Astyanax mexicanus: one gene and its partners. The protein of the gene in region 3 interacts with the protein of the main gene of each other region in a biochemical or structural test. Links are inferred from orthologs where the notes say so. Each region holds a gene or a part of one and is shown on either strand. Other genes may lie near its edges.

Region 1 (7,881 bases), on a different chromosome or scaffold from region 3:
ATAGCTTAAAGAAGCTCTTTATCTACTAATATCTACTAATAGCTAATTATCATCTCTCTCATTACCTGTTGCTGACGTGTGCAGAGATTAAATCTGCGTAAATTTAGCATTTCTTTGCATGGCAACATTAGTTAGCAAATGCAGTGAGTTTATTTCACTGTATCTTATCACATGCAATAACATCACAACCATTTTTGACAAGATAAAAAAATAATAGCGATATTTTGAAAGCAGTTTATTCTATTTACTTTAAATTTTTTGTTTGCAGTTTGTATGCATGCACTATATTGGCTTTCTTTGTAGTAGATTTCTTTATTTTTATTAGGTATCATTTAATACAAAATTAGAAGTGTCTTGCTAAGTTTACAATTAGATAAAAATGTATAGACTTTTTTATTTCTACTGCATGTACTTTAACAACTTTATTATTTCTTGTGTTGAGGTAGTATAATCTTGAAATTTGTTGTTGCAAAAATGCTTTGAAGTATTGTGATTATTTTTTAGAGCCATATCACCCACCCCTACACCCCTCATTGCTTTTTTTTTTTTTATGTACAGTTTAGGTACTTTTTAATTTATTTGCGTAAAAAACAAAGCCGTTAAATCACTAGCTAACTATTGACTAGTTTTCTCCTGCTTTTAATTATAAGAAAATAATCTAAAGACGTTAAAGCTCATCACCATCATCCCTTTCACATTACAATCACTCAGTGCCAGTGCATTCACAATCACAGATTTACGATCCTGTTTTTATGCAAACAATGCATTTAGGTGTCGGTAAATGGGCAATCTGTTTAAATGAGATGAATGAATGTCTCCACCCACTAATATAATGTTTAATCTTGTGTCTGACCAAAGTTTTACTGGGTTATACTGTTATTTTCTGACCTAAATTCATTCAATTCTGTTTAATTTAATAGAGTTGCTTTTTAACATAATGAAAAAGATTATAGATTATTGCTACTAAACATTCCAACACAAACTACACAACGCCCTTTTTGAATCAACTTTTATTATTTGTTAACCTCTAATGCACTAAAAACAACGTTTTCTGATTCAACATCGATTTAACATTGTTTTTATTCAACTTTAACACTCTTTGCTCTTGCAGTGCAGAGAGGGCCATTTAAATAATAATAATAATGATGAACCTACTATTATAATAAATATTATTATAGATATGACTTGTGAGGTGCACCTTTAGCCGCATGTAAGCACTGTGAGTGTAGTCCTGACCATTCAAAGCCTTTAGCTAAACAAACGTTGATTTGATGTGAAATAAAGGTTGTTTAGCTAAAAGTTGCTTTTCTTTGTATCATCAATATTAAAATAAGATGTCATGCAGCCCAATTTTTTTTTTTTGCTATCAGGGTTGTGTGAGAGCAAAAGTGTCCCAACTATCCTAAGTCTTCAGCTAAACAAACATTGATTCAATGTTAAACAATGGTTGTTTTGCTTTTTTATCATAAACATCAAAACACGTAATACAACCCACATAAAAATCAAAGTGTATTCAATGCTTTTTGTTTTAAGCTTTTTAAGTTAAATGAACATTGATTCGATGTCGAAAGTGAGGTTGTTTAAAGTTTATTTCACTATTCAAAGCCGTTCGCTAAATAAACGTTGATTTGATGTTTGATAAAGTTTGCTTTTCTTTTTATTGTCAACACTTAAAGTAGATTTAATACAACCCACATTTTGTTTCAGGGTTGTGAGTGTAAAAGTTCCCCAAGCATTCAAAGCCTTTCGCCTATTAAACGTTGATTCAATGTTAAAATAAAGGATTTTAACTATATAACTTAATACCTGTTTGTATTTCCATTATAAACATTACTAAAAATAAAAACAATGCAATAAAACTAAAAAAAACGTCTATTGAAAGCTTTTCGCTAAATGAATGTTGATTCGATGTCAAAGTGAGAACACAAATGCATAACAGGCATATTATGTTAAACAATAATTTAGGGTCAACAGGTTGTTTAACGTTTGTTTATCTTAATAGCACTATTCAAAGCCTTTCGCTAAATAAACGTTGATAAATGTTGATTTTATTTCCATTAACACTAAAAGATATAAACTGTAACGTTTATTCGATCAACGTTTATTAAACGTTTAGGGTAGCTGGGCTTAACTAAAACAGCAGGCAGGCAGAGCGCCCGGGACGTGTTGTCCACATCAAGCCACGTTTCAATCACGTCTTGCGCTAAAAACATGCGGGCGCGCGGGCGCTCAGGCTCCGCCGCTGTTTGCGCTCCGCGCGCTGCTCGATAACTCTGCGGCCCGAAAACTCACCGCTAAGTTTTGAGGATCCCGATCCGCACAAACAGCGCAGGCAGGCGGGGGCATATGGGCAGACTGATGATATATATCCAAACTCCGCTCCAAACCCCTCAAAAAAATAAGAAAAACTCCGCTGAATCGCCCAGTCTTCACTATTCCAAAATCACTGCCAGCCCGGATCCGTATCCAGCAGCAGCGAACCAGTAAATCCACTGTAAAACTCCAGTAAAACACCGATAAACACCCAGAACTTTCTGTCTTTCTCCGTTAAGTCCGTCTCCGCAGAGTCGTTCTCGTCTTCCTCCACCTCCTAAAAAAAACAACAGCCCCCACGGTTCTCCAAGGCTGGGGGTAAAGCGGAGTTTTAGCAGCCGGAGACGGAGCGCCTCGCCCGGGTATACATCCTGCTAGACACGGTCCGCGGACAGTCTCCTGCTGCTTTTCTCAGACGCTTTTCTCACTCAGGTTTAGGCTACAGGCTCTTCTTCTTTTTCTCCTTCTTCTTGCAGCTCCCTCACTCCTTCTCTCTCTCCCTCTTTCTCTCCAGCCCCTCAAGAAATGTCACTCCCCCCTGAAACCCGATCCGTTTCCTCACTGCAGTTTTTTCTCGCTCCTCCGCCAGTCAGTCCTGAGCGAGTCCAGACACTGAGCTGAGCTGAGGTTCCTCCGCGGTGCTCTGCCCGGGTCTGCTCTGCTCTAAACCCCTCAGCTCTGCTCTCACTGAAGACCTCCTCCTCCTCCTCCTGTTGCTGCTGCTGCAAAAAAACTCGAACTTTTCACCAGTGGGAGAGAACCTACCCCTCCCCCAGAGCAGCAGCACCAGCAGCACACCACACGCACTATTTTCCCCGAGAAGCACGCCGCCTGTTGGCCAGCCTGAGCACACCGCGCGCATTGATTTTTGCTGCGACTCCCTCATCCGCGCGCGCTCGGACCTGCAGCCCCGCTCGCTCACTGAGTTGCGCCGTTTCAAAGTATTTTGGGGCCCCAAGCAAAACAGGTCCCCACCATGTAAACCCACCTCTATCCCATAACAACTAACAGACTGCCTGACCAAATTAAAAGTCTGCACGCATTTGGAGTGGCATTGTTCCAATAAGCTTTCCACAAGCTGTCACAAGATTTATTTTAATCCAGTGTTGCTTTAATTTTTTACCAAGATCTTGCAGCAGCATTGAGGATGGTAGAGTCTGACCTCTGCACAAAGCATCTCTTCTCCATCCAGCACATCCCAAATATTCTCAGTGAGGTTAAGATCTGGACTCTGTGGTGAACTTTCTCTCAATCCATGTGGGAAAATGATGATCTCATGCTCCCTGAATCACTCTTTCACAATTCCAGCACCATGAATCCTGGAAATGGCATCTTGGAATATGTCCGTTCCATCAGGAAATTAAAAATCCATTGATGGAATAACCGGGACTATATTCAGTATATTCAGGTAGTCAGCTGACCTCATTCTTTCAGCACCTACTGTTGCTGAACCTAGACCTGACCAACTGCAGCAACCTCACATCATTTAATTAAATCCGGGTGGTGACTTTTTTTTGGCCAGGCAGTGTATAAAAAAGGGCAAAATAACTGTAAAAGCCAATATATTTAAAAAAATGTGAACATTAACTGTTAATATTAGTTTCAGATGTTTACACTTAGCAGAAATACAACTTAAAAACACCCCATTCTAATGTTACTTTTAGAACAGGTTTAAGCATTCTGCTGTTTAAGAATTTGAAGGCATTGAACAGCTGACATGTATGGATACTACTAAACTTATTCCAGTCTGGTTATATGATGCACAGAATTATCATAGGTTATTACAACTCAAAATTTGGTAGATAGGTAATCACGATTAAAATGTTAAAAAAGTTAAAGGAGAACTCTGGTGTAAAATTGACTTTTGGTGTAGTAAAATGTGATAAGGAGTACTAACCTTTGTTGAATAGGCCACCTCTATTCTTTTGCAGCTTTCAGAGATCATGTAATTTTATTTCCTTTGTCCAAACATGCTTTAGAATAAATGATATGGGGCATATTTTGTCCCTGCAGATAAATCACTTTTAACACCATTATCCAGGCTCATAGTAGCTTCACACCTCATTGGTAGAATCTGGAGAGCCCTGACATTTAAAACAAGGCATTAATAACTTTCAAAGAGCTTTATCATGTTTTACTACACCAAAAGTCAATTTTACACTGGAGTTTTCCTTTAACTATTGTAATGTTTATTGCAATGTCATGTTATACTATAAACAGTGAATCTAAAACAGATTTTCATTATCCTGTTAATATAACATTACAGTATGTAACCATATTATCAGCCCTTTCAACTAACTTGTTGCACTGGCTGTTCTAGTTCATTACTAGCATTGACTGCCAGGCTGGTAGGTAACATAAACATCATCCATATATTGTGTTGCTAATCTACCTTACAACATTTGTATGTGTGGGCCTCATTGATCCAGTGTTAAATATCACTTAACACTTATTTTCTTATCACATGGCTTGTTTTCTCTTTCTCTTTTTTTGATGGATAACTCCACTTCATAATCACTGAAGTTTCATATTTTGCTAGCTGCAAGAATCACAAGCACGGCTGACTGGCTACTGTCAGCAATTAGTGGGAGGGGCTCCATTGAGGGGGATTCTAATAACAGTGTTGTTTTACTTTCCTGCATTGACCATCACAGAATTTAAAGGGGTGCTCACATAGTTTGCCTTGCATTTAATTCACAACCAGTTGTTATCTGGGGGCCCCAGGCCAGCTCGGGGCCCTAGGCAATAGATTTGTTTGCTTGCCTTGTTGCAACGGGCCTGTCACTGAGAATAATCATGACAGCCATGCTGAAACAAGACTGGCTGGAACACAGGGGTTCTGAACCTCAGGGGAAGGCATCGGTTGCAGGGAGCTGGTAATGGCACTTTATAATGTTCAAAGTGAAAAAATGGCCAAGTAAGTAAAAATATATAGAGAGATCATTTGTGATCAAACTATAGCTATATAATAAATGCACAGTTTGCTTAATGCATAATGTCGGTCATTTAAACTCTTTTAAAAAGCAGCAAAACAGACCCAAACTGAACCAATAGTACTGTCTACTATTATCTCTCTTGTTACTTGTAGCTGACGTGTGCAGAGATTAAACCTGGGTAAATTTAACATCTTTCTTCATGGCAACTTTTAAATTATTGTAAGCTTTTTGTTTTTGCCATTTTCCCAAAATCGGGTTGGAAAATTAAATGTTTGATTTTGGTCAGACTGAAGTCCGATGTGATTTTGACACTAAAAATCAGCACTAAAAGTCTCAGCCCGGCATACACTACACAACTTACAGTCCAACTGTCAGCTCCCACTATACCAGAGTCTACAAACTAGAGACTACTAGCACAGACTCACCACTACTGGAAATTGGGGTTGAAATCACGCTTAAAATTGTGTTGTTTAATTTTAACCAGAGTTGCGGGAACCTTGCAAATGAAGAAAGAATGTTCTTTAGAAAAGCAAAAAAAAATAGTTTTTACTGTCAGTGGAATAGATTGAGAAACCAAGAAAGACTGAGAAACCATTGACTAATATACTGTATATCAGTTGTGAAGTTGTAAAGAGGTAGAGTTGGTATACAGTGAATAGCTCTATTTGAGTAACGTTCTAATCCATATTATGGCAAGAACTTCTTAACTACTGTAAAAGTATCATTAAGTGCAGTCACAAAGACCATCAAAAACGTTATGATGAAACTGGCTCTCATCAGAACCACTCCTGTAATGGAAAAGCAAGAGTTACTTCTGTTGCACAGGATAAGTTCATCAGAGTTATCAGTCTCAGAAACTGTAACTTAACATCATCCCAGATAAGAGCACCTAAAGTATTTTGGTTTGTTTAATACTTTTAAGTTTCTACATTAAAAGTAAAAAGTAAAACATTGAATGATAAGATTTATCCAAATTTTAGACTGGTACTGTATATAGTACTATATGAGTAAAACTCAGTTTGGATCATTTTTATTTGTTCTTAAGTGAAAAATGCCAAAAAAAGGGGATACAATGCATTTGCCCAAATCTGCTCCAAGATTGGAATGAGTTTATTTTATGTTCCATAGAGCATACAGTCTCTACGTGCAGCGCCTTGTGGGTTTCTTCATGGGGTCTTATCTCCAAGCTTTAACGCTGAGGTGGGGGCAGATTGATTAATGATCTCTAAACGTCAGAGACAGAGGGGGCCCCCCTACTGCGCTCTCTCTCTCTCTCTCTCTCTCTCTCTCTCTCTCTCTCTCTCTCTCTCTCTCTTTCTCGCTCTCTCTCTTTCCAAGCTGTCTCTTCCATTGGACAGGGCCTTTTCAAGGACCACCCCCCTCCCACCACAAACCCCTCACCCTTTCCCCTCCAAAAAAATTTTTTACTAAAAAAACGTAGTGGGTTTGGGAGAGGAGGGAGCAGTGGCTAATATGCTTTCACCTCTTATTTTCTCTTCTTCTTCTTCTTCTTTTTCTTCTCCCCCTTTAAGAAAGCCTGCCTGCTTTTTCTTTTTTCAGCCTGCAGAAAAGAAACGTCCTCTTTCACTTGGTAAGGGACGGCTAATAAGGCTGTTAAAGAAAGTGAGAGGCTGCTGTGTCAATGGAGCCGTCCATCTCCGTTCTCACTCGCTCTCTCCCTCTCTCTCTCTTTCATTCATTTTCTTTTTCTCCCCCCTCCATTTTCTCCCCCTTCCCGGCCCAGTAAAGCCATCAGAGACTCAGTAGAAAAGGTGACAGCTTGGACGGGAGTTGGAGGGTGTGGGGAGTGAAAAGAGAGGAGAGCTACAGGTTTAGAGGGCGTGAAAAAAAAAAAAAAGGGATGGGGACGGGCCTTTCAGGAGCGTCCTGGTTGCCTGTCCAAACCTGATTTACACTGGTTTCATGCTAGTCTTCCCAGGCTCAGACTCTGCAGGAGCTCTGTAGGGGAGCCACAAAGGCCTGCAGAGAGTAGAAACTGAGACAGGTTATGTCTCTGTCTGTGGATCACCGCTCTCCTGATTGTGGCTGGAATATTGAAATGCAATACCCTTCTGGACCTCACAAATACCAGTACTACAGAATATCAATAAAGACATTTAATAGCAAATTTGAATAGTTTAACAATCATTCACAATAAATAGTGAAGCAAAGAGCATGTCTGTTTTACACGCTTGAATAGTTATTGCCTGCAAGGTAAGGTCACATTTGTTTCACAACCAGAAAAAAACGCTATACTAATAAGGGAGCATAAAAGAAAGCACAACATTGTAGGTTAGTTTAGTATCTAAAGTGTCTAAAGCAGTTGCTTGCTTGCAAAGAAACTGAGACTACTCTATCTTACTATGCTGATACTGTAACTTATCCCTTTCAAAAGTAGTAAAAGTTGGCTCTAACAAGGAAAAAAAAATGCAGTGGGAGACCCCGATGCACAACTGTGCAAGAAAATAAATATAAAGACTCCTCACAGGTTGTCCACTGACCTTCACGTTAAACGAATACCTGTCAAACACCAGCATCAGTTTTTTTGCTGGATTTCATGGCAGAATTACCATGAATCACACTGGTCAATATAAAGAAAAAATGGCTTATGAAAAGGTGAAAAAAAAAGATG
Region 2 (6,979 bases), on a different chromosome or scaffold from region 3:
GAAGCCAGACGGCACCCCAGGGTGCCGCGGCACCCTGGTTGAGAAACACTGAACTAGAGAATTAAGCTTTGGATTAATGCAGGAATCTTTAGGAGTAAAAGTTATCTTTTAGTTATCTTTAAAGAAAGCCTCTCAAGATCCCAAATAAATTTGTAATACATATGGATATGTATTATAAAAAATAAAATATGGATAACTGTGTAATTTTACGTCTTTATGTATTAAAACAAGCTCTTGTTGATATTAAAAAAAGAAGAAAAGAATTTGAAAAATATTTGAAAGATGTTGGCAATATACCTGTTTTATTTTAAATGTTTCGAATCTTGTAAAAAAAAACGATTATGTTAATGTAATATGTTTGTTTTACTTTTAATTTTATTATTGTATGAAACAAAAGATGTGTTGAAGAAACATGACTGAAAAACTTTGTATGTGCTGTTTTTTGTGAAATGCTTTTGAAAAACTTCAATAAAATTTATATAAAATAAATAAAAGTTATAAATGTTGTTTTGATTCCAAAAGACATAAGAATAAACTGAGAAATATCTTACTGTTTCTTTCAAATTGTCCATATCTTGCCAAAAAACATGGTTTGCTTGATTAAAATTTGAATTATAATTTGATTATTTGATTAAACATTTTTGCCATTTTACACATTTACTCCTTTATAATAGCCGGGTCCCAACGCCATAAAAACTTCATAAAAACTGTCCCAATATGAACGGATGCAACTGATGTATCTGTCATGGAGCTTACTCAGAATTCTCTCTAAATGTACAATGTGAAAAATAATAACATCACATAAAAATGCTTAAAATTTATTTAAAATGTTTTCAAAAACTGTTTTTACCATTCTAATTTATTTTAATAAATAAAAAAGTACATATGTTTCTTGACGCAGTGCCACCGTGTGACGTCTGAGCATAACGTCAACGCAAAGCTTAATTAGACTGTTCTTTATGTGTGATGGATAGGCTGTTAAGAAGTAGCCTAAGAACACAGAATACAGATACACTGTATTGTGTAAAAATGTACTTAAGTTAAGATTTAAATCCAGAAATACTACATGGACATTGACTCCCCACACACATATAAATGGATATACATGTTTACATGCTTATGTACAAGCGCATATAGATACAAATATACATATACTGTACATAATTATACCTGATTACTTTATCTTACCTATCAAACAGTTTAGCCACACCCATTCACACTGAAAACGTTAAAACAAAAGTTTTTGGACTTTAGCTTTTAGCAAAAACAGCCAGTTTGTTTCTAAACAAACAATGATAGGATGAAAAAATAACCATATACAAATGAATTAGAATTTTCTTTGACACACATGGACATTGCTTTATTTCTATATTTTAAATATCCATATCTTTATTTTTTTTTTACTTTTTGACTATTTTAATTGGTCAGTTCTTTATTGTATCAAACTTACATGATAATTGGTCCAATAAAAAATTCTCAAATCCATACACACATGCAAAAAGTCATGGGACAGCAGTATGTAAATTAATCATGAAGTGTTATCTCTGTGAACGTTTTGGGAATGCCCAAACTCAGGCTGAACTCTAGAGGGATGGGACATTCCATTTCCTTTATCCACATTGTCATGTGTACAGGGTATACAGTACCAGTGAAAAGTTTAGAGACTCTGTCACATTCAATGTTTTTTCTTTATTTCTTTATTTAATTTATTTTCTACTTTGTAGATTAATATTAAAGACATGAGAATTAGTAATGAAGTTAAGGGACACATGTAGAATTACATAGTATACAGTTTAAAAAAAAAGTGTTTGATCTAATCCCAACTGACATGGTGATTTGCTTTGAGCTGGAGCTTCACAGCGTGAAGGAAAAGCAGCAACTATTGTGCAGCACCTTCAGGAACTCCTTCAATTTCATTGGCTCTGTACTTGCACACTGCACAATGACAATAAAGTTGAATCTAATCTAAGTTGAATCTAAAAAGACACCAAAATACTGAGAGTGTGCAGATCTGTCCTCAAAGATAATTCAATATAGCGCTTTTTACAACAAAGGTTGTCACAAAGCCGCTTTACAGAGAAAAACAGGTCCACGCCTCTTATGAGCAGCACCACAGAGATGCTATTTTTTATGGTGACCTGTGGCAAGGAAAAACTCCTTTTAAGAGGAAGAAATCTTGGAAGGAACCAAGACGCAGTCAGAGGAACCCATCCTACTCGGGTTGACCCGCTCAGTACAAACAGATAACAAACAAATAACAGAACATAAATGTGCTACATAAAATAATTTTAAGTATAAAACATATTCTGGTTTGTTTAAAACTTTTTTTTCTTTCTACAAAAATAATTTTACATTGTTTTTGTATAACTTTAATATAGTCTTCAATATTATATTTACAATGTGAAAAAAAATCATAAAAAGAAAGAAAACACATTGAAGAAAAAGAGGTGTATACAAACATTTGATTGGTACTGCTCATCATTAAAGGCTTTGACAGTGCAGCGCTCTTTAGCTTTCATGGGACATGGCAAAAGTCAAGGGACACAATACTGAAAGTTTCGTTGAAACTATTATATACAGTCTGGAACTTCAGTCCTTAAGAACATTCCCCAAAACATCTCTGTGTTTGTCTGGAGATCTTTTGTAAGTTGTTTTTGTTTCAAAAGCTTTCATGTGAGCTCTTGTTTATTTTACTCAGATGTCTACTAAGGGGTCCAGTTACTGATAGCAGCCCCAGCTCAGACCAACTCACCCCAACTCACCCCAACCTGAGCTGTAACACTGCCCACCACTTCAACATCTAACGACCAAGAACAACAAAGAGGAGGAGGGCAGACCAGGACAGAGCGAGACACCGGGGGAACAGAGGGAAAGAGAGAGAAAAACAGACAGAGCAGAAAAACAGAGGAGGGTGAAGATCTAAAGATCTGTACCAGAGTCTTCCTCGCTCTACTCAGATCATCTGCTGTGATGAGTCCTTCAGTGAGGAGGGTCTGTTACGGTGGAAATCCAGAAAACAAGTAAAGTAAAGATGGCAGACAGTCTCACACACACACACACACACACACAGGTCTCCTCAGCAACAGCCCTGGTTTTGTGTTTCTTTCACTGAAATCACGAGTGGCAGGGAAACAGAGCAAATCCTCCCTGGAAACTGGCAGCTCCTAAAGTGAGCAGAGAAAGAAAGCAAGGAACAGAGAGAAAAAGAGAGAGAGAAAGAGAGAGAGAGAAAAGTAAAAAGCAAAAGCTGAAAGGACTCTCAGGGCAGAAGATGGGGGGATAGGGGGCTCTGGAGGAGAGAAGGTGTATCAGCTGTGGTGCTCAGTGAGAAGGGGGCTACAGGAGTGTGAGCATACACTCCTACACACACACACACACACGTGTACACACACACGCACACACAGAACCATGGTCTGTTTTCACTCTTGGCTGTTTTCCTGCCTGCATGGTCTGTCATTCACTTTTCTATTTCTTCTTGTCTCTCGCTTAATCTCTTTCTCTTTCTTTCCTTTCTGACACTCTTTCACTCCCTCTCATTTCTTACTCTTGCTTACCTTCGCTCTCTTTCTCTTTCTTTCCTCTCTAAAACTATTTCTCTTTACAGTTCTCATCCTCAGTTTACCACACCTTGATCTCTTTCTTTGTTTCCCTTCTTTCTTTCTTTCTCTCTCATTCTCTTTTTTAACCTCTCTCTATTTTTGTCTTTTCTTCTATCTCACAAATCTGTCTCCTTATCTTTCTTTTCGCTCTGCTATTTCTCTCTGACCCTCTCATCTCTCTCTCTATTTCTATTTTTTCTTCTTTCCTTTTGTTTCGTTTCTTGCCATCATTCATTTCCATCTCATTTACTGGATGTTTTTCTCTATTTTTTTTTTCTCTTTCTTACTGTATATTTACTCTTTGACACTATTTATTCTTTTTTTCTTTCTTTCTTTCTGTCTCCTCTCTCTAGATCTTTACTGACTCATTTACTTTCTACCTCCTCTCTCTTTCCAACTTTTTTTTCTTTCTGTCATATTATTACTCATTCCTTTCAGTTCTCTCTAATCTCTTTTCTCACTTGATTCTACTCTTTATTTCCTCTCAGCCTTTGTTTTTCATTCTTTCTCTTTCGTTACCTCTTTTCTCGCTCACTTGATCTCATTCTTATTCTCACCTTTTCTTCTTTTTTGCACTCTTTCGCCTCTTTTCACAATATCTCTCTCTCTTTCTCGCTCTCTCTTTTCCTGTCTCTCTCTCTCTCTTTCAAGGAAGTCAGCAGAGTGGGCTGGAAATTCATAAGAGCTTCCAGCAGCTGAGTAAGGACTTTTCTCTTTATTGGAAAGACAAAAACAGAGTGTGCGAGTGAGCGAGTGAGAGAGAGAGAGAGAGTAAGAGAGAGAGAGAGAGAAAAGCTGGCACACTCACTCCTCTAATTGTGTGAGTGAATGCGAGGGCCCGTGAAGAACAGACAGTAATTATAAAAGACTGTGGTACCCAGCAGAACAGAGCCGTCACATCTCATAAACACACTCCCTGAATCTCAACACTGATGTAGCTCTTTGATTTTAACCCTTTAATCACTGCTACACTTCACTCTTCTGTTTACTGCAATCTGAGGACTGAACCGCAGTGTGCAGAAACACACCGTGCTGTACTCGAGCCAACAGCTGATTAAAGAGCTCTGAAAACATCCAGCGTGAAGTCGGCTCAACACAGGGCTAGTTCTCAGGCAGAGTTTTCATTACTAGGGGTAACTACACACTTAGCCCTTATAGCCTGGCCTGCCCTCCAAGCACAATGTCTCTTAGCACACACACACACACACACACACACACACTGTGCCCTGAACCCATTTATTAAAATAGTCACTCTTTTGGCAGAATCTTAAGCACTTTTTACCTGGTTAGACACAACTTGCAAACATATTTTCACCCACTAAAACACATTTTGCACTGTGATGCACTTGGGCACAACATAATGGTAAGCAAAAGTGAAACTCAGTGAAAGCACAGGTGTCTCAACTTAAACATAGCAACTCAAAATTGATCACACTTGTGTCTAAGGATAGAAGGCATCATTATAATCCAGGACAAGAAGCTCTGGTCACTGATGTTTCACTATGGACAGAAACCATCAGAAAGGCAGGGTAAGAGATGAAGAGGAGGTAGAACAATTATTTCAGATAAAATTTGGGCAACTGTCAGCATGTTCTAGTCCACGGTTTGACAATGAGGGAAACGGGACTTTGACTTCAGCCCAATATAAGCAGATTCACAGTGTCCATCATAATCCGAAGATTTAGACAGGAGAACAGGTAAATGTTTGCATTATGATTCAATACAAATGTGATTTATTACATTAATTTCCCAATAAACTTGTAGGACTAGTAGTGCATGTACGTTTTTTGTAACTGCATGTTTTTTTTTGTACTAGAAGTGCTAAACAGGAGTTTCACTTTGCTACCTGTGCTCACAATTATGCAGCCCAAGGGCATCACAGTGCAAAATGTGTTTTAGTGAGTGAAAATATGTTTGCAAGTTGTGTCTAACTACATGAAAAGTGCTCAAGGTTCTGCCAAAAGAGTGAACATTTAAATAAATGGGTTCAGGGCAAAGAGCATTTGCTTTAGACAACAGGGTTTAGTGTTTTAGCAATTGAAAAAAAACTGTAACTATATGTGGCCATATTTTAAACACTGGGAACTTGAAAAATCCTTTATTAACAGGCTATTGTGGTAGGTGTAAAGCTGGTTACGATAAATCTAAACTTTTACCAGAAAATGTAATTTTAGCTTTTTAGCGGGTACTCTCACTTCCCAGTTCAACATTAAAACCAAAATGTTAAAAACAAAACTTCACAGCATTCTGAGAACTGAAAACCACATTGCACCTGTGAATACTCTTTGCCCAGGGGAATGCCAGATCTGTTTTCAACGTGTGTTCTTGTGTATTTTTGCAACCGTGTGTTCTTATCATTTTCCTCTGTTTAAGCTGCTTTCTAATACTCAAGACAATAATGACCAAGAATAGTTCAAGTTCCCGGATGTGTTCTTAATCTTCCACAAAACTGATTTGCCAAACAAAACAAACTGAAATAAAAAGTATTTACTGTATTTACACTAATGATGAAAAGATGTTCAGACAAACAATCAATAGTTATTAAGCCCTTGTATTGTAAATACAATAAAATAGCAAGTACACAGCATTTCATTAATGTACACTTATTGCAAAGTTTTACCAACGTTCTGCCCAAGAACACAAGCTAGTTCTTTGTGTTCTTGGCATTGAAAGACACCCCAGGTTCTTATCCATTGCCTGCAGGTCCCTGTCTGGCCACTAGGGGTGGGCGATATGGCCCTAAAATAATATCATTATATTTCATGTTATTTTCACGATATCGATACTCTTGGCAATATGATAAAACACTGAAATATTATTGCATACGATATGATCTGACACAACACTAACTGAAATATTGAAAAAATACAAGAATTTTAATCGATTTGTAACAGAAGTCAATGATCCAGAATGTCACAATACTAATAATGCTCTCCAAATATCTTAATACACTGCTCAAAAAAATAAAGGGAACACTCAAATAACACAATATAACTCCAAGTAAAGTCAATTTCACCTGCTGTTGTGCAAATGGAATAGACAACAGGTGGAAATTATTGGCAATTAGCAAGACACATTCAATAAAGGAGTGGTTCTGCAGGTGGGGACCACAGACCACTTCTCAGAACCTATGCTGTCTGGCTGATGTTTTGGTCAGTTTTGAATGTTGGTGGTGCTTTCACACTCGTGGTAGCATGAGACGGACTCTACAACCCACACAAGTGGCTCAGGTAGTGCAGCTCATCCAGGATGGCACATCAATGCGAGCTGTGGCAAGAAGGTTTGCTGTGTCTGTCAGCGTAGTGTCCAGAGACTGGAGGCGCTACCAGGGGACAGGCCAGTACACCAGGAGACGTGGAGGAGGCCGTAGGAGGGCAACA
Region 3 (7,053 bases):
TAATATATGCATTATAGGTAGAATAGGTCTACATTAAGGCATATATACTTAGTGCTACCTGCAATATATTAAATATATTAACTGTGTGGCTAATAGTCCCGATATACTAGTCAATTTGATTACTGTATTTAAGTCTATAACAAATGCAGTTTGAGTCTTCAAAATATTGGCCGAGTGTGGTTAATATAATAGATATAGACTGATAGACTCAATTTGATTATTACTCTTGTATTACTGTATTCAAATATAATAATAAAATACAGTTTACAGTCTTCAAAAGATAAGCAGAGTGAGGCTAATAGTATAGAAATGGACCAACATTAAACCTTGATTATTGCCCTTGTATTGTTGTATTTACCTGGGAAATATACATAAAAACAAAGTTAAAGGTCTTCAATGATCATCATGTAACCTATATTAGTAAAAAATAGTCAGATTTATGGCCATAATATCTACAAAAGTCTACATTTAAACATACATAGCTAGTGCTCACTGCAATATACTGAATATATAGAATATTGTGTGGCAGATAACCTAGTTAACCTAAGCTGTATTAGCTAGCAAAATCGTTTAAATACGACATGTAGAAGATTAAACCCTGCTTAACCATAATCTGGCACAGCCTGTATACTCGTTTAATATATTTACCTATAATCTGTATAATAGGATAAACTACATTTTAACATAGTTAATCTAGTTTATCTGTGAGAGTAGGGCTCACAGGCTGTGCATTTGAAGCAGATTTCAGTGTATCTATGCTAAGCTAACGACTCAAATGATTCCATCTCTGAGTGGATAACGCTACCAGCGTTTAGAAACAGATTAAACCAAATTTAATCTTAAATAACCAAAGTAAATGAGGAAATTAAAGGGTATTAAATTGTATCTGACACATTTAAGATTTTAAGACTCAGTTTTAATCTTATTTTGATCTTTTTAGCTAAGGTGGTTTAGCTAACTTAACTAACGTTAGATTGACTGGTAATAAAAATGTAGTATAAGACTGTTTTATAACCTAGCTAATGCCAGCTATGAAACATAAAAATAAACCACATTAAATTGTATATATTCGTAGAAAAACAGATTAAAAGGGTGTTTAAAATGTGCCTGACATTAATTTATATTTGGGTTAATTAGCTGTTAGTTAACCTAACTAACTTTAACTAGCTAAGCTTAAGTACTGTTGTTTGATAACCTAGCTATAAAACACATAAGAATTAAACTGGATTAAAACTTTATGTATTCGTAAATAACCCAATTAAAAGGGTACTAAAATGTGCCTGAGACGTTTAAGATATTTTTGCTAGTTTAACCTAGCTAAGCTTGTTTAGTTAACATAGTTAGAGTACTGGAGATAAAAAAAATAACCTGTCATTTTAATATGTAATTTTATAACCTGAAGCAGATAAAAAATAAACCGAATTAAACCTTGTGTTTTTCTGTAAATAACTGAATTATAAGGGTGTTTTAAAATGTGGCTTAACTTTTAACCCAATCGCTAGATATCCAACTAGCTAAACTAGAGTAATGGTAATTAAAAAAGCTAAAACTGTTGTTTTATAACCTAGCTTGCTATGAAGCAGACAAAAACAAACCGGATTAAATTAAAAGTATTTGTAAATAAACACATTAAAAGGGTGTAATAAATATGCTTGACAGGTAACGTTAACTTATAAAATTTTCTTGGGTTCATTTTTTTACCTAGCTACGCCAGTTTAGTTAACCTAACTAGGAGTAATGGTGATTAACAAAGACTTGTTTTAAAACACCTAGCTAACTAGAACTATGAAGCAGAAAGAAAATAAACCGGATTAAACCTTGTGTATTCGTAAATAACGAATAAAAAGAGTGATAAAAAGGTGTTAAAAATTAGCCTGTCACGTTTAAGATTTTTTCTGGATTATTTTTTTACCTAGTTTGCTATGCTAAGCTAGTTTAGTTAAGCTAACTAGAGTACAGGTGCTAAAAAAGGTAAGTTAACTGACTATGAAACAGATATAAAAATAAAATAAACCGGAATAAACCTTTGTGTACTCGTAAATAACATTTTAATTAAAATGGTATTAAAATAGGCCTGACACGTTTCAAATAGGTTTGGGTTAATTTTTTGGCTAATTTAACTAGTTGTAAGTTAACCTAAAACTAGCTAATCTTGAATACTGTTGATAAAGGTAAGACTGTTGCTTTATAACCTACATAGGTTGGCTATAAAGCAGATAAAAATGAACCGGATTAAATATAAAAAATAAAAAAAGCGAATTAAAGGGTGTTTAAAATGTGCCTGACACGTTTAATATATTTTTGGTTTATTTTTAACCTAGCTAAGCTAGTTTAGTTAACGTTAACGTTAGAGTAGCTATTGATGATAGAAAGGTAGGTTAAGCTAATACTGTTGTTTTATAACCTAACGCTAGCTAGGTTAGCAATGAAGCAGATTGAAATAAAAACGGATTGAATATTGTTTATTCGTAAATAACCGAATTAAAAGGGTGTTAAAATGTGCCTGACAGGTTTAAGATATTTTGGATTCTTTTTTTCAGTACTGGTGATAAAAAGCTAGTTAGCTTAAGGAGAGTGTATGTTGTGTTTTTTTTTTATATCCTAGCTATGGAGAAATGGATACAAATGAAACCGGATTAAAACAGTCAGCTAAAACCGTTTCATATTTTTTGGATAGTAAAAAAAAAAAACACTAATTCGCTTTCTTACCGTTTAAAAACGCAACCGTATCGCGGGGGCACGAGGACGAACGACAAGCACGAAGATAGACCGCAATCTCAGCCCCGCACATCTCGGTGTGGAGGGACGGAGGTGGAGGGATCAGCAGCGGCGGCGGTTCAGATCATCCTGCGCCGGCCTAGAGGCGTCTTAGTCCCGCTGTAAGTATCCCAGGGTTTGGCGTGCGGTGGAGCTCCCAGTGTCCGGGCTGCAGGGTCTCCCACACGGCGGCAGCAGGCAAGCAGGCAGGCGGCTGCGGCCCTTCCCCCATCCGACCCGCTTCTGCACAACAAAAGCGCAGGGAGAGGAGCCCGGCCTCTTAAAGACACAGCCCCAGAATAAAGCTCAGCAAACCCCAGTCCCAGTGGAAATCTGATATATACCAACACAACATTATGACCACCTCCTTTTTTCTCATTTATAAACCCATTATTTATTATTTCAACTCCACTGAGCATAAAGGACACTTTTACTGTAACGTTAGTCCTAAAATTAGGATACATACTGTAGTTCTGTAATATTTTATTATTTTTTATTTTATCTTATAATTTATTAAATTAACGTTAAAATCAGTACTATCAGTGTCCTGACTTGACCATCGCTCCAACACAATACGTCTATACTAAAAACAGAGTAGTCAGAGTTGTTTTAGTATTAATAACAGTAATTAATACAAAAAAAACACTACAAACATAGCAAATAAGCAAAATAATGACTGAAAAAGGCATTATAGTTATAATTATTACGTTTTTTATATAATTACATAAAAAAGTAAATTAACTTTTGCTTTTTACATTATTTGTAACGTTACTATTTTATAATATGGCTCGTTTACATAAGAGGACTATAAGCACTGCTGTTTTATACGCAGAATCCGACATTTTTACACAATATGATATATAAGGAAGTATTAGTGAACAATAAATGATATGTAGAGATTTATAATTCAGCATATTTCTAGACTTATACAGGATTTATATTGCTTTTGCAATCTTTCCTTTTATACATCAAATACTATTTCACTATTTCATAAATGAACAAAATAAATCAATGTTATATCCAAAGTATGGTATTATATAAGTATTAAAAGGCATACTTTATTATCATCCTCCTTTTACCCTGTTCTTATTCTTCAATCAGGTCAGAAAAGCAGGGCTGCTGGAGTTTTTAAACACTGGGTTCACCCACTGATATATGTATAAAGTAGTAGAGCGCAAAGGTTTGATAAGTATTCCCATTTTTTATTCAGGTAGAAGTAGGCCTGTCACAATAATTACATTATCGACTTATCGTTCAATAAATGGATTATTCAATCATTTTAATAATCGTGATATCGTCCATTGTGTTTGCACTCACAAAATGCACTTACATATATTGTGACTGTGATGGTGAATACCATGGCCCGGTAGTGCAGAAGCACAGAGAGACAGACACAGGGAGTGAATGAACTCCAAACGTACTTTAATTAGGAAAAATACCCTTCTTCAACACACAAAACAAACCTAAAGAAACATAATAACGGCCCAGCGTGGCTTAGTCGCTTAACCTTAGTGTCTCTTAGGTTTGTGTTGCCTCAGTAAGGTTCTTTATGCTGATCCAACGTGGGCCAGCTGGGACAGACCTGGGCTGCAATCACTTCACAATGTATATATATATTATAATGTTATATATATAATGTTTTTATATTATGTATCATTATATTAGTGCCATTTAATAGTCTGAAAATGCCAACAATATCGTTTATCGCAATAATTTGTGGGACAACATTTCTTTTGCAAAAAAATGTTATTGTGACAGGCCTAGGTAGAAGTATACTGTAGATACTAGGGTTTAAAATACTTCTTAAGGTTTTTAATCTATTAGTAATAGTACAAAAAGTACTGGTCAAAACGATTTAAAGTAAAAAGTAAAAATACCAGAGTGGTCTGGTAGGTTCGTTGGATGTACAAAAACATGAACAAAATGAATTCAAAAATATTATACTCAACACATTATATTATATGAGTATTAATAAGCTGTATTAACAGTACTCTTCCACATGTTCCATGCAATTACACACTCTCACCAGAGAGGGCTCCAAACCCCCAAAATTACAGACTGTCGCTTTAATAATCGTGTTTTTTCTGACTGCAGCCTGAAAGCAGATGTTCTCACAGTTCCTGAGCTGGTCTGCAGGTTTCTGCTCTGCAGCTCGTTTCTGCAGCAGTTCTCATGAGCAGTGACGACAAACCACAACCACAGAGGCACCACAGCATCTCGTCTGCACCCAGACTGTACGGAGCGGTGGCACAGAGGCGCCCGCCACCTTCACCTGCTCCACATTATACACAGCACCTCAGAGCAGCACAGAGACGAATAACAGGAGTGAAATATAAAACATTTTTAATGATACAAAATTAGTAATGGAATTGATACAAGCATATATAAATGTTTATATGCCTGTGAATGTGCAAAAGCCTGTGTCTAAAAAGAAGCCTGTTAAAAAAAAGCCTGTGCCTGGGCAGAAGCCTGAGATAAGACAGAAGCCTGTGAATGGGCAGAAGTCTGTGCTTGGAAGGAAGCCTGTGTCTGGCAGAGGCCTGTTAATGGGCAGAAGCCTGTCTTTGGGCAGAAGCCTGTGTCTGAAAAGAAGTCTGTGCCTGGGAAGAAGCCTGTATAAAAAGCCTGTGCCTGGGCATAAGCCTGAGATTAGACAGAAGCCTGTGAATGGGCAGAAGTCTATGCTTGAAAGGAAGTCTGTGTCTGGGCAGGGGCCTGTGCCTGGATAGAAGTATGTGCCTGGGCAGAAGCCTGTATAAAAAGCCTGTGCCTGGGCAAAAGCCTGAGATAAGACAGAAGCCTGTGAATGGGCAGAAGTCTGTGCTTGGAAGGAAATCTGTGCTTGGAAGGAAATCTGTGCTTGGAAGGAAGCCTGTGCCTGGGCAGAAGCCTGTGTCTGTGAATAGACAGAAGCCTGTGTATGGGCAGAAGCCTATGAATGGACAGAAGCCTGTGCCTGGACAGAAGCCTGTGTCTGTGAATAGACAGAAGCCTGTGTATGGCCAGAAGCCTATGAATGGACAGAAGACTGTGACTAGGCAGAAGCCTGTGCTTAGAAAGAAGCCTGTGAATGGGCAAACGTCTGTGCAGAAGCTTGAAAATGGGCAGAAGCCTGTGCTTGGAAGGAAGCCTGTGCCTCGGCAGAAGCCTGTGCCTGGGCAGAAGCCTGTGAGTGGGCAGAAGCATGTGCCTGGGCAGAAGCCTGTATAAAAAGCCTGTGCCTGGGCAGAAGCCTGAGATAAGACAGAAGCCTGTGAATGGGCAGAAGACTGTGACTAGGCAGAAGCCTGTGCTTAGAAAGAAGCCTGTGCCTGGGCAGAAGCCTGTGAGTGGGCAGAAGCCTGTGGTTGCTGGTTAGTATTGTTGGTAGGTATAGGTATATAGGCTTGTTGTAGAGAGCTTTGGACAGAGTGCCATTACTGTGCAATACTGGTACCCCCAGAGCATCTCTTAGCCAATCACATGGTATAATATATATTTGGTTGGTTTCTAGGTTCTGTTGTAAAACTCTTCATACCAATACAATCTGATTAAATGTAATAAAAGCCTCTACATGAGCTAAGTTCTTCTGACTGACAGGATGTTGCGTTAAAATTAGCCAGTTGTCTGATGCCTACTTTTCATGTTGGTGTTTTGGGGATTTACGTTACACAAGTACTCTTTTAATAAAAGATCAGAAATCTAATCTAATACTGGCTCTGAGTCACATGGGGAGTTTACCTTCAGTCTGAAGTTTAAAATAATAATGAGGGAAATTTTACAGAGAATTAACAGATGATGTTATGACATCTATGTGTTTTTTTATTCGTTAACAATTGAAGATTTAGACCTATATGAGCAGTTTGCTAACTTGTAAAAATGTGCTGCTGGCTAGCTACAGGCTTAATTAATGCTAGTGATGGGGGCATAGTGTTGGTCATGCAAAGAAATGGCTATTTTACACCTCTAAAAGTTCAAAGTAGCTCCACAATTCAGTTGTAGAATTTTAAAAGATCCTGACGTTTACCTTCGGATAGCCATCTTGAAATTAAGTCACAAGTTGAATGATGAGCACAAACAAATAGATAGCATAGAGGAACAAATTGCAAAATTAATTCAGTTGAAGAAATAGCCATTGTAAGCCTGTTGGGAGCATCAGATAAAAGCCCTGTTATCATGTTATCACTACAACTCAAGTCCATTTCACACCAGATTTCCCCTTCAACACATCATGATATGACTGTCTATCTGTGAAACATGGTGGCGGGTGTTACATGATACGTTACGAGATGTCCCATTTCAGTAAACACACACACA
Region 4 (7,948 bases), on a different chromosome or scaffold from region 3:
AACGGATTATAAAATTAAGGGAATAGATTGCTAAACTTATTAAACAAATTGCTAAACAGAAGGATCGATTTGCTAAACCGAAGGAACAGTTTGCTAAACCGAAGGAACATATTGCTAAACCCAAAAGAACAGATTGCTAAACTGAAGGAATGGATTGCTAAATTGAAGGAACAGATTATAAAATTGGGGGAATAGGTTGCTAAACCGAAGAAACAGATTGCTAAACCGAAGGAGTGGATGCCTAAATTAAAGGAACATATTTTAAAATTAAGGGAATAGATTGTTAAACCGAAGAAACAGATTGCTAAATTGAAGGAACAGATTTTAAAATTAAGGGAATAGATTGTTAAACCGAAGAAACAGATTGCTAAACCAAAGGAACAGATTATAAAATTGAGGGAATAGATTGCTAAACCGAAGGAATGGATTGCTAAACCGATGGAACGGATTCTTAATCTGAGAGACCAGATTTTTAAAGTAAGGTTTTTTTTTTTGTTTTTTTGTTTTTTCTACCTGGATATATCAGGGGCACTCTACAAGTCAAATGTGCTCTTTTAAAGCAAGAATAAGACAAATACACCAGCTTTTACCACAAACAGAGAGTCTAGCCTACATGAGGAGGAGGTGTGGGTAGAAATGAAGGCATGACTGCACGAAATATAGACTTTAGTGTCACACTAATTGTGTGTTTGGATGCTGTGAGTGTTGTGAGTGAGTGAGGGAGGAGAAAACAGCAGCACATGCTAAAAAAAAAAATACTGAAACATCTAGCTAAAATATTGACAAGTAAACATGTCAGCACACACCCAGGACAGGTTTAGGGGAATGTAGCAGAAGTTAACCTGGTGCCAGATTCACTAATTTCCCCTCTCAGGTAGCTGGTTGAGCTCGTTTTCACGAAAGAGCAGGCTTTATCTGCTCTAGCTGTTAGAAAGCAGGTTATTTGCATGGGTACTGGCTTTGTGGTCAGCCCCCACAGACCACAGCACATTTGAATAAAACTGAGATTTACTTACATAACGCCGTAACTTCTTCTCTGGTGGAGACTTTCTGAGCCAGCCGGAGCACACCACATCCCCCCCACTCATTTTGTTGCTGCAGAAAGCTTCCCCTTTCTGTCCCTCGAAGAGATCTGGGACGCAGATTGAGCTGAAAAAAGGAGAAACACAGTGGTGGGTGAAGGGTCAGTGTAATGTTTATCAGTTCAATTTCCTGATCATATGAGATTCCCTAGAAAATAGGAAATTGTGTGTAAAATGTATTTTTTTTGTTCATTTAGTATAGTGAAGAAGAAATTCTTCTTCTGATTTTTTTTTCCATTGTGTACAAATGTCTGGATTATACTGTAGCTGGGAGGTTGGGGACTGCAACGCAGACAATAGTCACAGTATCATGATATCATAGTTATTGGGGTACACATAGCAAAAACTTTAAAATGAATGAACATTAGGGATGCACAATGATATAAGAATTATATCAGTATTACTGTATGCCGGAAAAAGACCAAGTGAACCTGACTGCACTACTACAAACTAAAATCCATTAATTTAAGCTAATTTGTATTTATTCATTTTTTTTACATTTCATCACCTCAGTTGATCAAACCATTTGATTCTACCCCTTTAGGATAATGTCAGAAGTGTATGCCTAAGCAAAATGTGACATATTGTTGCAATTTTAATAGCTTTCCAAGATGGAGCTACCTTCACTGAAATTTACTTCTTACGAATAAACATAAATTATAATGCAAAAGAAATATGCAAAGAAAACAAGTTGATATTTATAAAATTAAGAGTTTAGAAATAAATATTTGTTGGAATAAGCCTGTTTTTAATTACAGTTTTTTTATGCATCTTGGCGTGTTCTCCTCAATCAGTCTTACACACTGCTTTTGGATAACTTTATGCCTTTACTCCTGGTCCAAAAAGTCAAGCAGTTCAGCTGGGTTTGATGGCTTGTGACCAAAATGTGTTCTCAATGGGGTAAAATTAAAGAAATTCAATATTTTTAAGTGGTCTCTTGCTTTTCCCCCCCCAGAGCTGTATATATAGGACTATATGATTGTTTATGGTTGATTCTAACGTTACTGCTCATTTTTAAATAGTCATAACAACTGATGAAAAAGGTCTCTTGGCTTTAGTGTTAGCTGAATAACTTAAACTGAATTAAAATTAGTTTATGAGGCGATTATTTTAGGAACGTATCGATGTGTGATATCGGGTATCGGTATCCCAGAATTTTCACATCAGTACACCTTTAACCCAATTTCTTCTCTTTACCAAACTAAGTTAGCTAACCTAGCTAGCTAGAAAAATGGAAATTAGCTGCATAGCTTATAAAGTTGTACAGTCTCAAACAACATAAACATAGGTAGTTTGTTTATTTTTTCTGGTCATATGGTCAAAAAACGGACCTAGTAACACCTAATAAACGATATCCTCGTGGTTTATAAGCAGTGTAGAAAGTTTAGAGGGGAATAAGAGAGAAAAACAGGGCAGAAAATACCGTCAGTGCTGAGCTTCTCCCAGCGTCTCCTCCTCCTCCAGCAGCTCAGCCACAACAGCCAAAACTCTCAGCTACCAACTCCTTCCTCTCGCTGGGAAGACTCAAATCCGCGTTAAAACACAGAATAAATCCAGAACATACGCGTGGAAATAAACTCCAGGCTTAATTACCGAGAAAAATCCGCACTTTTCGCCTCCAAACACACGAACACTCCTCCGCCTGCTTAATCCAGCAACTTCTCCCGGGCTGTTCCAGCTCTCCCGGGCTGTTCCAGCTCTCCCTCTCTTTCTCTCTTAAAAACTACACATTTCCACACATTCCCGCCGCTTTTCCTCTCTTCTCCAGCACATTTCAGCCGCCCAGACTCTCTCCGTCCGCAGTTTGAGCAGAAAATCCTCCTTTTCCGTCGTGTTTTCCCTCCCCGCTCCGCTCCCGGGTGACTGACAGCCGATAACCGCCGATACTTTTCCCCTAAACTCGCCTCGAACTCCAGCGAGAGCGCGAGCGAACGAGCGAACGAGCGCGCGAGAGAGAGAGAGAGAGAGAGAGCGAGACAGGGAGAGAGAGAGAGAGAAGGGAAGCAATGCACCATGGGAAATGTAGTCTTTAAGCGATAGACAATACACAATACACGCAGTACAATACACGTTTTAACTCAACTAAACAAAAAATGTGAAACGTTATTTTATATTTATTTATCTTTAGATAACAATGCAACAATCACTGACGAAAAAAGAACTGAAAAAAATATTAAAACCAGGTGATTTTTGAGAAGCGTTTTCATCATTCCCGTGTAAACTACACTTACCAGAATCCATCTTGTACATGAATCCTAGTAGGTAAATTGATTTTTTAAAATTTGCATTATTTATTATTAATATTTTAATGGCTATATTTATAAAAGTTAACGTTTACGTCTAATATTATTAAATCTACTAACTTACTATATGTGTGGATGTTTAAGATATATTAGGTGTTTTGTGTGAAGACAAATGCTAAGAGGGACAGTAGTTCACACTAATTCACTCTAACAAAAAAAAACATTCATATATTTGTGTTTTGATAGAAAATCTTTAGTTTTTGTCCACTCAGATTCCTATGTCCAATCTATTTGTATAGTGTAGGGAGGAAAAATGCACATTTTCTATCTCCAGTATTTTTACACTTTTTCTCTTTTGTTGTATACATTGATATGTGTATATTTGTCGATTTGTAAATTATTGTGTGTATATGCTTGCACTTTTTGTATTAAGTGAGATATTTTTATTTATAGTTGATGGTATTATTATAGTCAATACTGTAATTTTCAATATATGGTTTACTGCTCTCTTTTCTGCAGCATTTAAAATGCACATTCACTCTTTTTTTATAAAAACTAGAAAAAGACACAGATACACATAGAACTCTGTAACTATAAAAAGTAGAAGTCTTTATTTAGAGAATTTACAGATGAAGCCAGAGAGCGGTGAATACTGTTTCCTACACCTTTAAAAGACACCTTTAAAAGACTCCTGGAGAAACTGGAGAAAATGGGTACAGTAAGAGTCAGGTCTAGCTGACCCACATGGCAACCGCGCCTTTAACACAGCTTAATATTGGACTAAGTCTCAGTTTCAGCAGTGAGGAGAAGAGAACAATAGGGGTGTTCTAAAACTTTTGACCTTTTTTTCATAGGACCTTCCTCCTTCTGTATATGTTTATGAATATTTTGTGTATATTTACTACATTTCCTGTTTTATTTAGTATGTTTACTCCTGTTTATTTGTGTAAGCCTGCTGCAGAGTAGTTACCCTAAGCCTCACCACAAGCAAACAATGCATGTATGTCCTGACATATTGTGCAAATAACAAATAAACACTGAATCTTGAAACACAAAACACTAAATCCACTATGCTATGCATGCTTTTATATCCATATACACTATACAGAGTACTGAAATACATAACTGTGCTAATTTTAGAGTCAATTGTGTATAACGTGTTCCTGATCCTGTGCTGCACAGTCTCTTCCAGTGTTTTCCCTCCAGCTCTCTCTTCCCTCAGTCAGAGAGACTGGTATGGCAGGAATGCTGTTGTAATGGGAAACGCCTTCTCCAATCAGCTCCACTAACAAAGGCCTGCCTGCTCACACACACACACACACACACACACAGCTCCAGGAAAGCAGGCCGCTCTCTGAAGCTCTGAGCTGAGGAGCATTGCTCAGCAGATCCCTTTGTGTTTACGAATCTTTCAGTGCAGATTAGCTATTCATCATGTGGTAGACTGTGTTAGAACTAGAGTAGAGGATTTGCACACTTAATTTAGTTACATTTACATGTCTTTCGTTGAAGAAAGTGTGACCAAGTCTGCTCTGTTTGCAGATTCAGCAGATAGGCTTTAGTTAATGACATTAGCAGTGCAAATAACATAAGTTTACACTGTCTACTGGAACCAGTTCTACACATGCAATATTCATCAATATTTTCCTGTTTTCTTGTTTTTCAATTCAAATCAATATACGTTTATTGTCATTACACAGTGTAACAAAATTAAAATTAGGTAGAGAGTTTATACTTTTCTATAGAATGAAGCAACAAATATTGCAGATAAGGATAGAGACATTTCGGTCTCTGTGTGCTAAGAGAGTGTGTGTGAAGAGTGTCGAGAGTGTTGGGTGTGTGGTAGTGGGGGGTTGTGGGGGCTGAGGGGTTCAGCTCCGTCTCTGTGAGTTGAGGAGTCTGACTGCCTGGTAGATGAAGCTGTTGCAGAGTCTGGTAGTGGAGGCTCTGTGTGTTGAGGAGTCTGACTGCCTGGTGGATGAAGCTGTTGCAGAGTCTGGTAGTGGAGACTCTGTGTGTTGAGAAGTCTGACCGCCTGGTGGATGAAGCTGTTGCAGAGTCTGGTAGTGGAGGCTCTTTGTGTTGAGGAGTCTGACTGCCTGGTGGATGAAGCTGTTGCAGAGTCTGGTAGTGGAGGCTCTGTGTGTTGAGGAGTCTGACCGCCTAGTGGAAGAAGCTGTTGTAGACTCTGGTAAAGGAGGCTCTGTGTGTTGAGGAGTCTGGCTGCCTGGTGGAAGAAGCTGTTGTAGACTCTGGTAGTGGAGGCTCTGTGTGTTGAGGAGTCTGACTGCCTGGTGGATGCAGCTGTTGCAGAGTCTAGTAGTGGAGTCTCTGTGTGTTGAGTAGTCTGACTGCCTGGTGGAAGAAGCTGTTGCAGAGTCTGGTAGTGGAGGCTGTGTGTGTTGAGGAGTCTGACTGCCTGGTGGAAGAAGCTGTTGCAGAGTCTGGTAGTGGAGGCTCTGTGTGTTGCGGATTGGTGGGGTCGTTTTTGAATAGATTATTGAAATCAACCAAACTAAACACAGCTTTATAATAATGTAATATAACACTAACTCTAGTTGCTCTAATTTCTCTCTAGATACTTTATAAGGCATAAAATGAACAGGGAATAAGCCCAGCTTGAATGCACTTTGAAATAAGCAAAAAAATATATATGTTTTTACAAATTGCATCAATCTTTTACTTTTAAAAAATGAGGTAAATCTCATTTTTTCTGATATAGGTCTTTTAAGAGTTGTTTTTGATACAAAACAAGCTACAGACAGATCCTAAACTCACAGGAGAGAGATTGAATTAGAGCCTTTGCTTTGCTGAGTCCATTTCTGAGGGAAAGGTCCGGGGGTTCAAGCTTCTGCGAAAGATTAAAACATTTATGAGGGACGCATTAAATCCAGTGGCATTTTATACGGCATGCAGGGACGCGTACGCAGGAAAGAGCAGCCAATCTCAAACTGCTAGTGCTGCGCACTAAGACTGGCAGGGCATTAGCTGCATATTATGAAGGGCTATGTTATTTTGTCCTCATTACTCTTAGTTAGTGTACAGTTTAGTGTACAACTGTTCTGCTGCAGACTCACATTTAAAGTGACATTCTGTAAGTTTTTGTTTTACCTCTCTGGTGAGAATGAGTAATGGCACAGAGCATGAAAAAGAGCATGTTTAATGCAGATGTCAAAATGCGAAGACTTCCTTTGCTTCCTTCACTTTAAAATAAAGGAAACAGCTCAATGTAGGATATACAGTACATGCCTTTTAAATACCTAGAAGATGTTAAAATTCGAAAAGTACTGATATTTACTGAGTGACTATGTGATCAGTTGAGTTTGTGCACTTTTGGAGACACAACACAAGTAGAGTGTAAACTGTATAAGTTATCCCAGTATATGTATATATATGTATATATATATATATATATATATATATATATATATATATATATATATATACATATATATATATATATATATAAATATACTGATATTTACTGAGTGACTATTTGATCAGTTGAGTTTTTGCACTTTTGGAGACACAACACAAGTAGAGTGTAAACTGTATAAGTTATCCCAGTATATAAATATATATATATATATATATATATATATATATATATATATATATATATATATATATATATATATACAATTTTACATACAATTAGATTGTTGATTATACTGATTAATCATTGGATGCTTATTTCCAATGCAGTAATACTACTGCTTTAAATTTAATGCATATTAAACTATCTGATTATTAGTGCTCAACACTCATCTGAATTGCAATGCAATGCTTACAAGCCTTCCAGAGCATCCCTCACTATCTTTAATAAACTCCTGAAGACAGAGCTCTTCAAAGAGCACTTACTCTCCTAACACCTCTAACTAACTACCTTCTACTACCAGATCAGGAGAATCTCTCACTATCTTCAATAAACTCCTGAAGACTGAGCTCTTCAAAGAGCACTTACTCTCCTAACACCTCTAACACACTACTACTAACCTCATTTCCTTTTTCCTCGCCTTTCCTTCTCTATCTTACTATTGTCAAAAAATATTTTTACCTTGAACTTCTATGTTCTCTATTGCTAATTTACATCATTATTGTAAGTCACTTTGGACAAAAGCACCCGCTTAATTTAATGTAATGTAAAGTAATGTAATGTAATGAAGCCAATAGCAGATGTCTGTTATTATAACAGGCCCAAAAAGGGAGGAGGCACAGAAACAGCTTCAGATTTCTCACCACCTCCTACTTTCTCCCTCGGCTGGATTAATGTAGGTTAGTGGGAGTGGGCCAGAGTGTTGATGTGTCCTTGTGAAATGGCTGTGAGAAAACGCTTGGTTCTCGGTTGCTGAATAATTGAAAGCCATTGATTTTACCAAATGGTCTTGGAGGCAGCGCGAGTGGCGCTACTCCACAGCACACGTTGCAAAGCTAATGGGCTTTTGGGGGTGGATTTAAGAGCTAAAACGATGCCCACCCCTCCCTTTAAAAACCACAAGACTGGCTTCGGTGCATTATACATATGAGCATCTCCATTAAGAAATGCACCTTCAGAGCACTCAGCTTCTATTTAGAGCGAATGGGGAAGTTCCAGGCCCGAGCCTCGAGGCAGCGACACTGCAC

The links.
Region 1: the proteins of plcg1 (region 3) and fgfr2 form a complex in vitro, tested with the Homo sapiens proteins (2 studies listed by BioGRID and IntAct). The link is inferred for Astyanax mexicanus from reciprocal best matches to the Homo sapiens genes PLCG1 and FGFR2.
Region 2: the proteins of plcg1 (region 3) and pdgfrb form a complex in vitro, tested with the Homo sapiens proteins (3 studies listed by BioGRID and IntAct, with this or other methods). The link is inferred for Astyanax mexicanus from reciprocal best matches to the Homo sapiens genes PLCG1 and PDGFRB.
Region 4: the proteins of plcg1 (region 3) and gab1 form a complex in vitro, tested with the Homo sapiens proteins (2 studies listed by BioGRID and IntAct, with this or other methods). The link is inferred for Astyanax mexicanus from reciprocal best matches to the Homo sapiens genes PLCG1 and GAB1.

Annotation. Positions count from the first base shown.
Region 1 is NC_064414.1:11,917,080-11,924,960, reverse strand, and holds the start of fgfr2 (fibroblast growth factor receptor 2), read right to left. Parts: upstream 3,017-7,881; 5' UTR 2,293-3,016; intron 1-2,292. UniProt on the Homo sapiens protein: Tyrosine-protein kinase that acts as a cell-surface receptor for fibroblast growth factors and plays an essential role in the regulation of cell proliferation, differentiation, migration and apoptosis, and in the regulation of embryonic development.
Region 2 is NC_064409.1:67,927,263-67,934,241, forward strand, and holds the start of pdgfrb (platelet-derived growth factor receptor beta), read right to left. Parts: upstream 3,001-6,979; 5' UTR 2,934-3,000; intron 1-2,933. UniProt on the Homo sapiens protein: Tyrosine-protein kinase that acts as a cell-surface receptor for homodimeric PDGFB and PDGFD and for heterodimers formed by PDGFA and PDGFB, and plays an essential role in the regulation of embryonic development, cell proliferation, survival, differentiation, chemotaxis and migration.
Region 3 is NC_064420.1:49,213,358-49,220,410, forward strand, and holds the start of plcg1 (1-phosphatidylinositol 4,5-bisphosphate phosphodiesterase gamma-1), read right to left. Parts: upstream 3,021-7,053; 5' UTR 2,710-3,020; intron 1-2,709. UniProt on the Homo sapiens protein: Mediates the production of the second messenger molecules diacylglycerol (DAG) and inositol 1,4,5-trisphosphate (IP3). Plays an important role in the regulation of intracellular signaling cascades.
Region 4 is NC_064414.1:48,871,750-48,879,697, reverse strand, and holds the start of gab1 (GRB2-associated-binding protein 1), read right to left. Parts: upstream 3,005-7,948; 5' UTR 2,506-3,004; intron 1,150-2,505; 5' UTR 1,089-1,149; coding exon 1,017-1,088; intron 1-1,016. UniProt on the Homo sapiens protein: Adapter protein that plays a role in intracellular signaling cascades triggered by activated receptor-type kinases. Plays a role in FGFR1 signaling. Probably involved in signaling by the epidermal growth factor receptor (EGFR) and the insulin receptor (INSR).